Linked DNA regions of Lytechinus pictus. The protein of the gene in region 1 interacts with the protein of each later gene in a pairwise test. Links are inferred from orthologs where the notes say so. Each region holds a gene or a part of one and is shown in the gene's direction. Other genes may lie near its edges.

What was found.
Region 2: the proteins of EF-hand domain-containing family member C2-like (region 1) and enhancer of mRNA-decapping protein 3-like interact in binary tests that used the Homo sapiens proteins (3 or more experiments, as listed by UniProt). The link is inferred for Lytechinus pictus from reciprocal best matches to the Homo sapiens genes EFHC2 and EDC3.

Annotation. Positions count from the first base shown.
Region 1 is NC_087260.1:22,384,386-22,392,175, forward strand, and holds the start of EF-hand domain-containing family member C2-like, read left to right. Parts: upstream 1-4,764; 5' UTR 4,765-4,951; coding exon 4,952-4,993; intron 4,994-6,968; coding exon 6,969-7,305; intron 7,306-7,790. UniProt on the Homo sapiens protein: Microtubule inner protein (MIP) part of the dynein-decorated doublet microtubules (DMTs) in cilia axoneme, which is required for motile cilia beating.
Region 2 is NC_087249.1:27,566,794-27,573,757, reverse strand, and holds the start of enhancer of mRNA-decapping protein 3-like, read left to right. Parts: upstream 1-3,951; 5' UTR 3,952-4,048; coding exon 4,049-4,215; intron 4,216-4,943; coding exon 4,944-5,089; intron 5,090-5,649; coding exon 5,650-6,105; intron 6,106-6,789; coding exon 6,790-6,964. UniProt on the Homo sapiens protein: Binds single-stranded RNA. Involved in the process of mRNA degradation and in the positive regulation of mRNA decapping. May play a role in spermiogenesis and oogenesis.

The DNA of each region.
Region 1 (7,790 bases):
TACTCTACTCTGACTACACTGATAGCTGAAAGCTTCAAAACATGGACTCGAATGCGAGTTTTTCGGTGAGTACCATTTCAATTATACTAAAATCAAGCTAAGTATAATTTCAAAATGTTACAGTAGAAGTTTAAACGAGTATGATTATTGAAATATGATTGAAAAGCCGTTGCATGGCTCGGTCGACGACGCGACTGCAAGACACATGGCACTGCCAGTTGTGTGCACATAGTAGGAACATATACAATGCACATGTTGGCGTGTCAACATTACATGCCAACCATGCCAGCCGGTCGATCCGGCCGCGTTCAGCGATTTGCGAAACTGCTTACAAGCGAGAGTTGAGCGCGACGGACGCACGAACAAAGAGATCGTTCTACGTCGTAGATAGCGTCGTACGACGCTGGGCGAAAACCCACTATTATATGAATACCGACGGTATGGTACTTGAGAGTGAGCCTGATGACCGACAGTCCATCAACCATCTTCACTCGGGAGAAGGAGATGGAGATGAGACTACGACTCACATTTATATGGATATGAAACCTATGCAGATGCCGTCAACTTCTCTTGGTGTGTCTTCCATGGAAGATGACCTACCGGATACAGAAGAAGTTGTGTATGCCAATACATGATAAATGATAGGAATTTGCGACTCATGAGACTGGGGACATTTTGTTCTTTCGCACGAAATAAGGAGAAATTGTCAATCACCTAAGATTTCCTCTAAATGAAAGTAGGAACTCGAGTTAAGGTTGAAAATAAACTTTGCCTAAAACAATAGAAATGAGATGATTTTGTTTTGTAATAGGGCTAGATATACATTTAATATGTTTAATGCTCCAAAAGAGACATATAAAAAACCTTAAAGTTCAATTTGTATTGGTGGCAAAGTTTTATCATATTCAAATAAGCAATTCAGTATTTTCCATCATTTTGTTTGATTCGATTCCTTCATCTAGTACACAATATGCAAATTTGATTAATAAACCCATCCCCAATTTTGATGCTACATATTTTAAATTTAAGAACTACATGTAGTATATGTCTGATTAAAAACATGACAACACTTTTACACACCTTTTACACGTAAGAATCACATGAATGCCATGTAAGTTTATTAAAATTAATGATGAAGAACAATCTGTATTAATCGTATATTTTCAAGTGACAAATATGTTTTCTACGCTTTTCCTGATAAGAAGAAAACAAATATTATGGCATTGCTGTCATTTATTTAACACATGCTTTCTGTACGTAAATCCATCGATTGATCGTCTTCAATTGAGCGTAAGGTGAATCATGCAGAGTATAAATATGTATTTTGTTGTTGCACATGTTTAAACATGTACATATTAAACACCAAAAATATATTGTCTTATTAACAGACGAATTTCAAACTTGTTTCTACTCTGCTACTGATTTTTTTTAAATATATCATCGATGTTTTTATTTAATAATATATATATATATAATAATTTTGATATCAAATTTTGAATTAAAACATAATATGCAATGTAAATTAATAACGGATTATGTTACCCTTACTACGGCGTTTCTAAATTAAGACTTAGAGTCATGTTGTATGATGACTTTGGTGTTTCTTCTACCAAAACAAAACGATATCTTTTACCATACGTTTCTTAATGAACAAAATTGCTTCAAAACGAAATCAAGTTGTGAAATATAAATGTTGATATAATTATAAATAAATATGTTTATTAGTGTAATTGTTGCTTTCGAATGAAACTGATAACCTAGAAGATTTACCGTTGTGAACTGTATCGATGAAATCAAGATGATATTATGGTGATACTGTGAATATATCAACCCCATTACAAATATTGATACTGCATTGCTATGATACTACACGGATGAGCGTTACTTGTCATATCTTTTATTGCAATTTAGAAATAAGTAAGTAATCTATGATGAATTGCATTAGTTTAATCCTGTATTAACTTTTTTTGTATATATTCTACAAAAAAGATGAAGTCATCAGTTTCTATATTAACCTTCACAATTTCCAATTGTTGAAATTAACTATGAACATTATATCGTAGTATAGTGCCATATATTTTAGCATTTCACATTAAACTCTTGTAGATAAATTTCAGTTGCAGAGATAATTTCTCTTTTAATTAACGTAGTCATTATTCATTCACTATTATACCAATTAATTTAGGCATACTAATATACGGGATAAGTATATTTTTAAATGAAAATAACTCAATCTTAATAAACAGTTTTGATTATTAATAAGCATCATCATTCAAATATACTCTACTTTTGTGCAGACATGGTAGAAGCTTAATAAACGCACTGTAGATTTATCATTTACATTATTCATTACTATTCTATATTACGTGCGACATTCCCTTGGTAGACAGAGATGTATTTGATGAAAAAGTTGGATTATCGATAAACTCCATCATGATAAATGCACTCTATAATGCGTACACATTGAGATTCTTTTATTATTATTTATTGTTCATGCGACATTCCATTGGTAGACAAAAATGTTTCTAGTACACTAGTAATGCTATTTTTGTTAAGTCTTGAATATTAATTCATATAATGAAAATGGTATGTTGTAGATATCGTGGTTTTTTTTCCAAGCATGCCCAGTGCCATATCCATTCTTTTGCTCCCATTGGATGCAAAACACATGACTCTTCTACTATTGTTATGTCATGTCTACGAAGATGTTATTTGTCTTCGCATTAAACTTTTTTGTTTTAAACCGGTAAAAATTCTGAACATCGTGACGCAAATCAAATTGCAAAAAAGAAAGGAAACAAATAGAAATATTGATTAACCGTTGCCAGCATTGGGGTTCACAGCTGCCTGCGTGATGCTCTGCCCTGTGCAGCATTTCATAAAACAAAATAAAAAATGATATGAGCCAATCAGTTGTAAAGATTTCAGTGGCTTATCACAAATTATAGTCGGTAATATCAATGGATACGTGGAGCAGTTTCATGAAATGTTCCCCCTTTCCACATCAGGCATGTCTGAGATACCCGTGTCCTACCAGTTACATGTCTTTTGAACGTGGGTAATGTCAAGGAGGTATCGATATAGTGATTCATCCTTGGTAAAAACATCTACTAGTAGGTCCATGGTAAAATCAATTGTTTGAAAGTATCGCCTGTACGTCATTAAAGATAACATTACCATGCGTCAACATGAAAAATTCTTGCAGTGCACTAATAAATTGTTCTGTTTCATTATAAAACTCCGTTAAGAATATTTCTTTGTGTGGACTCATTCAATTGATCAGTTTCCTTTGTACCCATGTCAATAAAAAAATGTGTAATAATGATAAACATACTTTGTTCACTTTGTGAAGAGATTCCTAATTTGGATAGGGACAGAAATAAACAGGGTGGGATGGAAACTGGGAGTATTATAATATGTAATACCCCTTATCAAAAAGTTGGGGGTGAGCGACCACTGGGAAATATGGAAGTAAATGAGAAAATTACTCGGAAAATGAATAAAAGAGCAGGGTGGATGAGTAAGTGGGTGAGTTATCTAAAAGAGATGCATGGGAACATGCAGAGCAAAAGAGAGGGGATGGGATTCCGTAACGCAAGCTATTAAATCAGGACTGAAGATTTGATTATTAAAGATGAAGATAGTTTGACCAATTAAATCAAGTTAGATCTGTTCAGGCAAGCACTTTCAAAATGTGATAATGCCAGGCTAGTATAGTCCCGTAAACGTGAAAACAAAATCATCCACAACAAGCTAGAAGTAGTTTTATGAGTGATTAGAGAACGATTCTGGTGTTTCTGTACGATGATGCGATCCTATTACGTAAAGTAAGATCATAATCACTTTTGTAATTAACATGTACTGATAGATTAAACTTCAAATTTTTAAGGGAATTTCTTGAAAACCAATTCATAATGGAATAAATGAAACTAAACCATATGTTAATATTGATAAGATTTATGATCTTCACTGGTAGAGAAAACAGGGTACCTCCAAATGTAAACGAAATTGAGGATAAATTAATTGAAAATAGAAAATAAGAGAAAATGCTTGCATTGGAAAGGGGAACTTTGTTATTTCACCTTTATAGGAAATGGCAACACTTTGAAGAATCATCCTTATAGTCCTCTACCCCAGGAGCAGTCCTTCCGAGGTGAGGTTTTTATTATTTTTGTTTTATTTCATTTGGGTTTTTTGTTCCTGTTTTTATGTGTTTGTTTTATGTGTATGTTTGTGTTTCATAATTATATAGATTTTTTGTTATATGAAGAATATTTAATTATGCTTTCTTATTCCCTTTGTGATTATAAATTGTTAAATAAATACTTTTTACGGACGAAATATGTCTTAAGTGCTAGTTTATTCGATCAGGCTAGAATATATATCAAAACCTTCTGCTATAGTGACTGTTGGGATTACTCCTTCAAAGAAACAAACCAAAATCAATTTTGAGCTGCTGATGGGGTAACATTATTGGCGGAAGCTGGATCCGCCCCTGATGTGGAGTGTAGGCCTATTATAAAAAATGATGTTGATCATTTGTATGTGTTGAAAATGAGAAGGGAAAATTGAACTAGACTTTTGTCAAGACCCTCGGTGTTGCTTTAAGTGTCAACCAGGGTCTGTTTTTGCAGACTATAGCATGATGAGTTGGTGAGGCGTGGTTTGCATATTGGCCACCCGGTACAACACTAAGGCCATACCCCTCATTGCGTGATGTCACTCATAGCGACCGAAAACGCTGTGTTGCCAAGTCTCTTGGACACACAATAACAACCGGTGATTTGCGTGCAAAGTGAATGGAGTGTGTATAACACATGCGAAAAATAAGTGAAGAAAAGAAAAATCAGTCACTCAGATCAGCCGCAGCTAGTGGAACAAGGCGAAAGGAGAGAATAACACAGCGCTGGACAAGTTTTAATAGCTAATTTAAGTGACATTAAGTCATAAAATGTCGTTACCATTTTTACCAGGAAATTCCTTCAACCCCAGGGTAAGTTTCATAGACAGAGGAAAACGAAGTGCTGACTGAATTTTGTGGCAGTGCAGCTCCAGCTAGACTCCCTACCGTAGAGTCCAGTGGGGCAGCGCCAATGGCCCAATTTGATTTTGAGAATGAGATGAGTGCCGATGATGGCGATGGTGATGTTGAATGTGTTTTGATTAATCATGCCCGGCATCATGGAGATTGAATTTTGGCGAACTGAAATGAAACTTAATATATGGGACTGGGTACACTCACAAGTCACAGTATCACAGCTAAACTGAGATTAATAAATGGGAAAAAATCCAGTGCCCAGTAAGGAAAGAGTTCTAAACAGTAAACTATTATTATTTGGCCGGCAAGACTTCCAAATGTCCCCTCCGATCGGATTACGGTCCCCTCCAGGCTCCACTAAAAAAGTAAACTAAAATTGAAAAAAAAATATGGAGAAGCCAGAAGGTTTATCAAGATTAAGAATTATCTGACAGAGATTTAGGAAGGAAAAGTTAGATACAAATTACCGGTAGGCCTACCTCAAGCAATGTTCGTGCAGGCTCCACTCCTCTTCACTACAGTCAGTACAGGCAGCTACACTAGTCACTACGCTCCACCTACCCGAACATCAAGATCCAAAACTCGCTCTGAATCTGATACTCCCGAGCACTCAGTCACATGTATTGCGAGGTTTACTATTACCTCGCACCATGAGCCGCGTTTGGCAGTGAATTTCTAACTAGTGGGTTGCACGTGCTGAGATCCCACTTCTGCCTCTGGTGTACAACACACGACTTCTAGTTCTATGGCTTGATTTTTCTGTGCGCGGCGGCATGTAATGAACCCTGGCCTTGGGTGACTCCCGAGTGGCAAAGTTGGGGAAAAATTGCACATTTTTTGTAAAAATCCTACACCGAAACTTGCTTAAAAAGAATAAGAAGCTTAATTTCTTACTTCTCATCCTAATTCAACTCCAATTAGTCCAAATCCATTCCCCGGTTAGCCTCAAAATTTGTGATTTAGAGCCAACATCGAGTTCCTCACGGCTCACAGGTATAAATAATTCGCTGCCGATTTCAAAACATTGCATGCGCGAGGGTCTAGCTCAGAACATCTATGTATTTCAGGTGTAAATTTTGTTGTCGTTGAGTATCTTCTTTTATTAGAATCGCACAGATATTCGTGTACGCAGACGAGGGCTTTGCCTTTGGGGCACCTTACCATAATAATTAATAGATCCACCTCAAAACAGGCCCAAATAAATAAAAAATGGACATCATGCACCCACCTCAATTTTATCGATGTTTTTTCACAGGATCCCTATCATCAAAAAGTAGTATTCAGGAGCTTGACCCTGAAAAAAAAAAAATAGTGCGGCATCCATTCTCTCCCATTCAAAATTGCACACAAAATGGTAAACTTGTACTTGAACGAATTCCAAGTTAGAACTGAAGTTAATGATCAGAAGATCTGCCCACGGCAGCTCACCAGTTTGCATGTTTTTGGTTGCTAACTTCAGTCCAAGAGGTGGGTGCATGGTTTCCATTTTTTTTCAGTATTTTGGGCGGGTGTTTTGAGGTACATTTCCGGTACTCTGCGTCACAAAAATCAATTTGTGTGACTGCTGGCGTTGAGCCTACCTGGGTTAACATTAGGTTAGCTGAAATCTGTCTGTTTGGAGGAATTTCTAAACAAGACGTACATGTAATTAACACAGACAATTTTTAAATACTAAGAGTAGATACTAGGAGTAAATCTACAGGGACAGGGACGGATTTGATTTTAGTCATTTTAGAACAATATCACTGAAGTTCAATCATTTAACATTTATGGGGACAATCTCACACATTTGTTGAATGAGTCAACAATTGACATTCTCTAAAAATACGGTATAGAATCTAGATATATAAGTCTTGAGCCAACAAAAACAAAGTGTCCAATCATGGTATTTAATTTTTGTATCTCATTTTCCTCTCCCATATTTTGTCAGTTGGGGAAAGATAAATTCCACAAGTCGCAGCACTTCGACTACAGTAATGAAGTACCCATGATGGTCGGAGAACACAAGCCAGGCATCGGAGGTGACAAACGACTTGGACAGAAGCTCAAGCCTGAGACAAGCAGCATACCCCAGGGCCAAGGCAACTCATCTCCGTCCTGGGTGGCCTTTGACAAGCAGGTTCTGCACTTTGACGCCTTCTTCCAGGAGGCTGTTCATGAGATGAGGCAACAGTATCGCATCAGGAAGTGCAAGATCTATTTCTATCTTGAGGACGATTCCATTCAGGTCATCGAACCTCTGGTTGAAAACAGCGGTATCCCACAAGGTATGTGATTAATGATAATAATAAGGTGCTTATAATGTAATACTGGTATTTCTATGTGCAGAATTTCCAGTACTTGGTACTTGGTATGATGTTCCACCGAAATACTCCAAGAAGAGTTTTAACTGGAGGTGTACACATCTACTAGTTAATTACTGGAATCAACAATAAAAATGTAATCAATTAACCTCTTATTCATAGGAATCAAATCGATAATGAAATATCCAGATATACAGAAAAGAGAATTATTGCGAATACCTACTTCTCCATTTAGGCCAACAAGAGCTTACATACAAAGTGGCAAAATCTAATTATAAAGAAGGATAGGTTTTAAGGAAGGGTTGTAATAAAAAACGTTTTTTATTAAAAAAAACAAATAAAACGTTTTTTATTGTTTTAAAACGTTTTAAATCGTTTTAAAACGTTTTTTTTTCAACGAATGATGCAATTTTCTATAAATCAATTAAACTATACACTAAATACAGTAT
Region 2 (6,964 bases), on another chromosome or scaffold:
GAGTTTGGGCGGTGCATTGATGAAGTAGGAGCTGCATGGATTGTCACTCGTTGGGCGGGAGGAGGATGTGGTGGGTTCCGCTCAGAGGCACTGCTACTGGGATGTGGCAGAGAAGTGTTTGTGGGGGGCTGTTAATATGATGAAGCAGACCTTGAGGGAGCCTGAGAGGAGGTAGGAGTAGTGGGTACTGCACTGCAAAGGGGCGGCGAGCATTTCCTGCATGAAGGAGTGGCGTAGGTGAAGGGACATTGCGTGGTGAAGTGGCTGATAGAGGGTTGGTAGGAGACAGGACAAAGCATTCACTACATTGGGAGGTAATGGAGTTGTCCAACCTGGTAAGAGGAGTTTTTTGGCCTGGGGTAATCGAGCCTCTTTGACTGTTTTTTGAAGGATTCCTTGACCAGCTGGTAGAGTGTGTAAGAGGACTGGTAGGCTCAAAGAGATCAGGACTATGAGTGTCTGCGGTATTGGTAGAAGCACGACTCTGTATGGGTGCCATTTGCGTTTGAGCTGCTGAAGTAGGACTCTTCTGAATTCTGATGTCCATAAGAGGTGGGATTTGGCAAGGTGTTGTAGGGTGATCAAGTCTGGGAATGAAAGTGGTTTTGGGTGCAAAGGTATCTGCATTCTGCCTAGGTGGCATGACATCTTTGGGTCTGTTGCTCTGGGGATGGGGACTTCCTGGGCTAGTAGAAGACTTATTCTGCTCTCTCGAAGGAGAGATTTTAGATCTGTTGCTCCGGGTAGCCGTGACTCCTTGTCCAGTGCAAGATTTAGTCTGTCTTCTATTGGGGGAGTCTCTAAATCTGTTGCTCCGGGCAGGAGTGACTCCTGGTGCATTGGAGATCTTATTCTCTCGTCTCTGGGGAGAATATCTGGTACTGTTGCCCCGGTTGGTACGGTCATTCAGTCCAGTAGAGGTCTTATTCTGTCCTCTCAGGGGGGAGGAATTGGTCGCCGAGTAAGTTTGGGCATGGATTGAGATTACAGGGGAGGCAGACTTAGGTACAAGACGCTTCTTGGGCGAGTAAGATACATCGACTTTGGTAGTAGAGGTTGGAGTCTGACTTTTAGAAGAAGAATCTCTAGGGTCCAATGGCTTAGGATGGCTTTGGAAAGCTCTCCTTTGAGAAGGAGAGTCAGCTGGCTTGATATGGCTTCCACGGTTAGGATCACTAGGAAAGGGTCCAAGATGGTTTGTCTTGAGGAGATCCTGATCAGTTTTCTTGAAGTAGCCAGGATCATCCTTCTTCTGTCTGTGTGTCTCAGCTGACATTTGGCCTGACTTTCTATGTGTGTGTTGTGAGTAATTAGATGCAGGATGAGGCTTAACAGAATTGCCATGTTCCTCCTCTGTTCCAGCAAAGGAAGCATGTAGCGAGTCATTCAGGTGGTCTGAAAGAATGCTAAAGCGATTCGATGTGGAGACAGGGGTTCCTTGGCGTGCAACAGAAACTTTGTGAGTGGTGGAAGTTTCCAGGTGAGAATAAGGAGGGATATGGTGTGTCACCTTGTTCACCTTGCTATGTCCAGTAGCACGCTTGTCCTCTAGAAGATACGGAAGTTCATTCTCATCAATGTCATGGTTCAGGCAGATAGCAACAAGATGATCATTTGAGGATAAGAGCGATACAATTTCTTTCTCCTTCCCGTTGAGCTCTGATGTTAGGTCTGCTATTGTTTTTTGTGCCTTCTTCTTGTGATTGGAATCTGCTGAACGGAGCTTTTTGAGAGACTCAATTTCGTACCTGGCTTGTTGTAAGTTGGATACCACTTGTTCATACTGCACAAGGAGGACATCTTTTGATAAGATGATGTTATCGAGTTTATCCTTGGTGTCCCTTAGCTTCTTGGAGAGGCTGGTACATTTGCAATCAGATGGAATTGGTAACATATCCTCAGGAGGGTCACAAGCAGCATCCTGTTTAGAGTGGTTTAGTGGATTGAGTTGGGTATTCTGGCTAGTAGGGAGACTGGTTTGAGATGCCCTCGAGATTTTCAGATCTTGCGGGATAATGGCGAGAGTAGTTTGAGTGGCCTTGGGATGCTGTCTCAGGGACTGGGTCTGAGTAGATATAGAAGTAGACTCAGAGCGGGAGGATGGGTTGAAGTCAGTAACATCTGTCATTCAATTAAATTGTTATCTAGGCATATACCACTTTTTAATTTTTATTTAGAAAAAATATATTTTTATTTTGTTACATTTTTGTGTTTTTCATGTTATGCTTAAAATTTACAACAAAAATCATCAAATCATACACAAAATTAAGATCAAAATCTGAGTAAAAAATATCTACATGTAGGCCTATGCAATGCTTGGTAACATAAATAAACAAATATTTATACATTTAGAGATTTAGAACATGTACATGTATATAATTAAAATGTTTAAGGGCATGTTTATGCTTCCACTTTTTCAGGCCAGACTCAGCATTTTCATACGTGATTAGTCCAAAACACTGTTGCATCCATTCTTACTTTCATTTAAACAACGTTTCAGAACGCTGATCGTAAACTTACGAAAAGGTGCGTTTCTAAACATTTGACCAGAATCAGGGTTTCTGGGGAAGTATAAACAGGATCACGATCGTAAACGTGTTTAAATGACCTGATTTGGTACATGCTTCCGGTGAGATGAAAATCTGCGGGCTAATACAGTTGCATGGTTCTATTACAGGGATTTACCTCCATGGAATTACCTCTCAACTTCCTGGTTTTAATAATGACCAATGTACATTTGCATGTGTGAATATTAAATTAAGGAAGTACTATCACTATCACAATGAATGTTGAGGGATTAAAAAAAAAGGAACATGAGTTATAAGGAGTCATCGCTGAGCCAGAAGCCCTGCAGTAGCATAAACAAATTGATGTCTTATTATTTTCTTATGTATACATATTTTATTTTGTCTTGCTATTATCCTCACCATGGTAGAAATTCTATGGCTACATGTATGTCAAGTAGCTCCAAGATCCGAAATTGTTCGAAGTTAAAATAATAGTCGACCATAACAACACTCAGGAACAAAAGTTTCAAAAAAGGGCGCGCCCAATTTGACCTCGCTTTCCTGCTCACCAAAAATTACGGTGCGAAACCAGCTGCAGATTGCAATTTCGCCTCTGAAAAAAAAAGGCCTACGTGCAGCCAGCACTGCACTAGCAGCTGCATGAGTTGGTAGCGAATCGGCATGCAAGTTGAATTGTCAGACTCATCATCATAGACGTGATACCCCTAATTTACCTCCATCCACGTCACTAGAGCTAGAAACTTCATCATCATTCTCTTCATCTTCAAAATCATCAATTTGAAAATCCAAAATCTAAATAAACTTCTGGGTTTTCTTTCATTTCGTGATCGAAGTATTCAGTGACAGTGTGGAGAAAACGTACCCTCGCAACAGGTTTTGCATGCAAGTGGAGCTTTACGTGGGAGAGCCAATCACGTCTCTCGTACACTTATACACGTCATCAAAAAAACCCAATTTTGCGGACGTAATTGAGCGTGTTTGAAGCATTTAGAGAGAGAACTTTAAACTATCAATTAAGTGAGTTCCATAGGTCTCCATGATAAATGATGTACACCATCGTGTTCTTCCTTTTTTCCCCTTTAATTTGATATATAATTCTTCATTTTTATGATTTTCAATATATTTCTACTTTAAAAATGAATTAATTCGTGGCAAGTTGGGAATAGAAAATTGGATGAAAGAATAACAATAAAGATATATATTTGTGTCTGACTATGAAATATGAAATGGTCTGGATCATTATGAATAATAGCAATGTAATATCAATGTTATAGAGGAATAAGGGAATTTTATATTAAAATAACAGCTAGAAGTAAGGGTTATAATACACAAAAACTTTGGATTACAAAGATTACCCGGCAATACATGTATCTATATTTTCCAAATATCACATTTGAAACTACAAAGTAATGCAGTATTTCTATTCAATTACTTTGATATTTTCTAGATTTTCTTGGCCAGACTACAAGAGCTTGAATTCATTTAGAGTGTTCCCTGTCGATCGCTACTTGGAAGAAGGTATGGCTAGTGAAAGCTTCATTGGGAACTATCTGTCCTTAGACTGCGGGCCGGTCCTAGGGACATTCCAAGGTGAAGTTTCTTCTGTGTGCAAGAAAGGACAAACTATCTCTCTTAAGAATGCATTCAGGAATGGAGTCAAGTATGGTGTTCCTGAAGTAACAATGAGGTTTGTTGTAAGACCTTAAAGAAAAATAAAAATTTCTGTCTCTACTTTATTTTAAATGACTTTGAACATTTTGAAGAGACATGGCTTGCAGTTTTCATTAATTTGTGAAATTTTGAAATAGTTATTTCCATTGATTCACTTAACTTATAAATATAAGTTGATGAAAAAAAAACATAACTTGATATCATTTGACATGAGTGTGTTGAACTTTATATTCATGAAATCATATTCTATTCTAAAGCATTTATGGAGTAAACTGGTAAATCTAAAGATTATTCATTTATAAGATTGAATTCATTATCAATCAAAACTTACGTGTACTTCATAAAGCACTTGTGTGAAAATGTGATCTAAAATTGTATATTCAATAGTAAAATTCAGTATCAAATGCAGGAATGAAAAGAAATCATGTTCAGGCTTTAAATATTTATTTTCTTTTTGGTATAATACCGCTTCTCAACCATTTGATGAAATTCCAACAGTTCATAAGCATACTGATTGATACATTAATCCATTCTAAATGGTCCTTTACATTAATTAATCCATTCTAAAATGGTCCTTTGATCTTATGGGAGGTAATAACATTACATAGAAAGGATGCTTTTAATTTAGACGAATTTAGACGAAGAATCAACATGTAAAATGATATAATGGGTACTCCCAGTACGCATTTGCGAGGTTTGTATAAGAATGATATATAAGAATGATTATAAACACTCTTATTTCAGAGCTTCAGACATCAAAGATCTGAAGATCCTGAAAACAAGTGCTGATTTGAAGGCAGAGGCAGAGAAAAATAGAGCGATCATCAAAGCAGTCAGCTGTAAATCAAAGTCTGAAGCAGTAAATGGAGACGCTATCTCTAATAACAAAGGTACATACATTGTACATAGTTATTTTTAAAATCCTATTATGTATAGAAAATGTACATGTATATGAGTTTTTTTTACAGTATTATCTGTTTTGAATTCAGTTGTGGGGTACATGTAAGAATTTATATGAAGTTTGAAGCTTAGAATGCGGTCTAGAAGATTTTTTTGGTTCATGGATTAAGGTTGATTGTTTTACATGAATTCAGTTTATCTTGCCAAAATGATCATATAATGGTTACTTATACAAAAGCCTTGATTTTCATTGACTATTGAATGATATTTGTTCTCATTGTCCAGATTGTGGACTTATTCTAAAAACTTGTAGGATGCTCAAATGTTATATATTGATATGATGAACTGTCAAAAAATATTTGCTTCTGCTAACATGTTTATGACTAAAATGGCAAATAAATTATTATTAATGAGATATGATTTAATGAGATAATGTTAAAAGTGATATTCGTCTGATCATTCCGATTGATGGTATGTTTTTTTTTTAAGTATTGGGAAAGAATTGAAAAGGAGTTTACCACAATATAAAAACTGTCTGTTCAATTTACAGACACATCTACCAACAAGCTGAATGGGGAGCTGAGTAAACCCAGTCTGACTGCAGTAAGGAGATCAGGAAATTCAGAAAGAGCTCACAGCAAATCACCCCACAGAAAAACCCCTGCAGGAACGTACAAAGAATCCAGTACAGAAGGTGGACAGAAAAACAAACATCAGAACCATCTCAATCACAGCCAGCGTTCTGCCTTTCACTCACCAAACCGCAATGAAACCACAGGAACAGACTCCCAGGAGAAAGGGAGGGTTGGGTTCAAAGCAAAGCGCTCTGCGTCGTTTTCGATGCCCCAAGGGAAAGGGGATGATAGTGGCAGACCTGGTAGACCAGGGTTTCAGAGGGTCCATAGCGTGGATGGACTTAGTAGATCAGGTGGGAATGAAAATGCAGGTAGAGATGAGGAAGAATACAGGCAAGGAGGAGACAAAGGAAGGAGAAGAACCTATTCTGGTAAGACTACATCTTTTCTCTTGTTGGGCGATACCATGCCAGGAATTTCCTTGTTTGTTTTGATGCCAATGGCGTCTTACTGGTTTAGAGACCAGGCAACTTGTACACATTAAAAACAAATAATAAAGTCATAGATATTTATGTTTCCCCAACAGATAATTTATTTAAATAATGAACAATTTTTACCTCTGGATCTCAATCAGTGATTTGTTTTCATGTCCTACACTGTAGTTTGCTGATAAAGTCGGCATCCATAGTATGCTCTTATTTGCTGCTGAAGGTGCTTTGTAATCTCAATCATGCAATCAACATGACGATTTAATGCACAGTGATCCCAAAAGTGTTGCATAAATCAATAGTCAGGAATGCCAGTTTTCTGTCTCTTTCAAATTTAACATAAGTGCTATGTGTTTTCCATTTCTCCCTTTGATCCCACCACAGATTAGCTGGAAAATAAAATACAAAAAATATGCTCAGATTGCCAGAGAGCATCTATAACCCTAGAGCTGGATCCTGGCTGTAGGGACTTTGCGTGCATAATTTTCCATCTGAAAAAAAATTAGGCCCTGGAGTCATATGTCACTGGCATCCCTGATTAGTAAATCTCCTTTGAAAGTCATTTTAGTGTGTGCATTGCAAGTATGATACTAATTGCATCACTTGATATGTTGCTCTTTGATATAGGGAACCACGAGAGCAACCACACACGATCATCGCCTGTCAAGATCAGTGGAGGTAATACCCGCAAGCACAACCGAGGAGGATTCAACTCACGCAACGCTGAATGCTTCAGTGCCCCTGTGGAAAGCTTCCTCAACGATGATTTTGACTTTGATTCAAACTTTGCCTTGTTTGACAA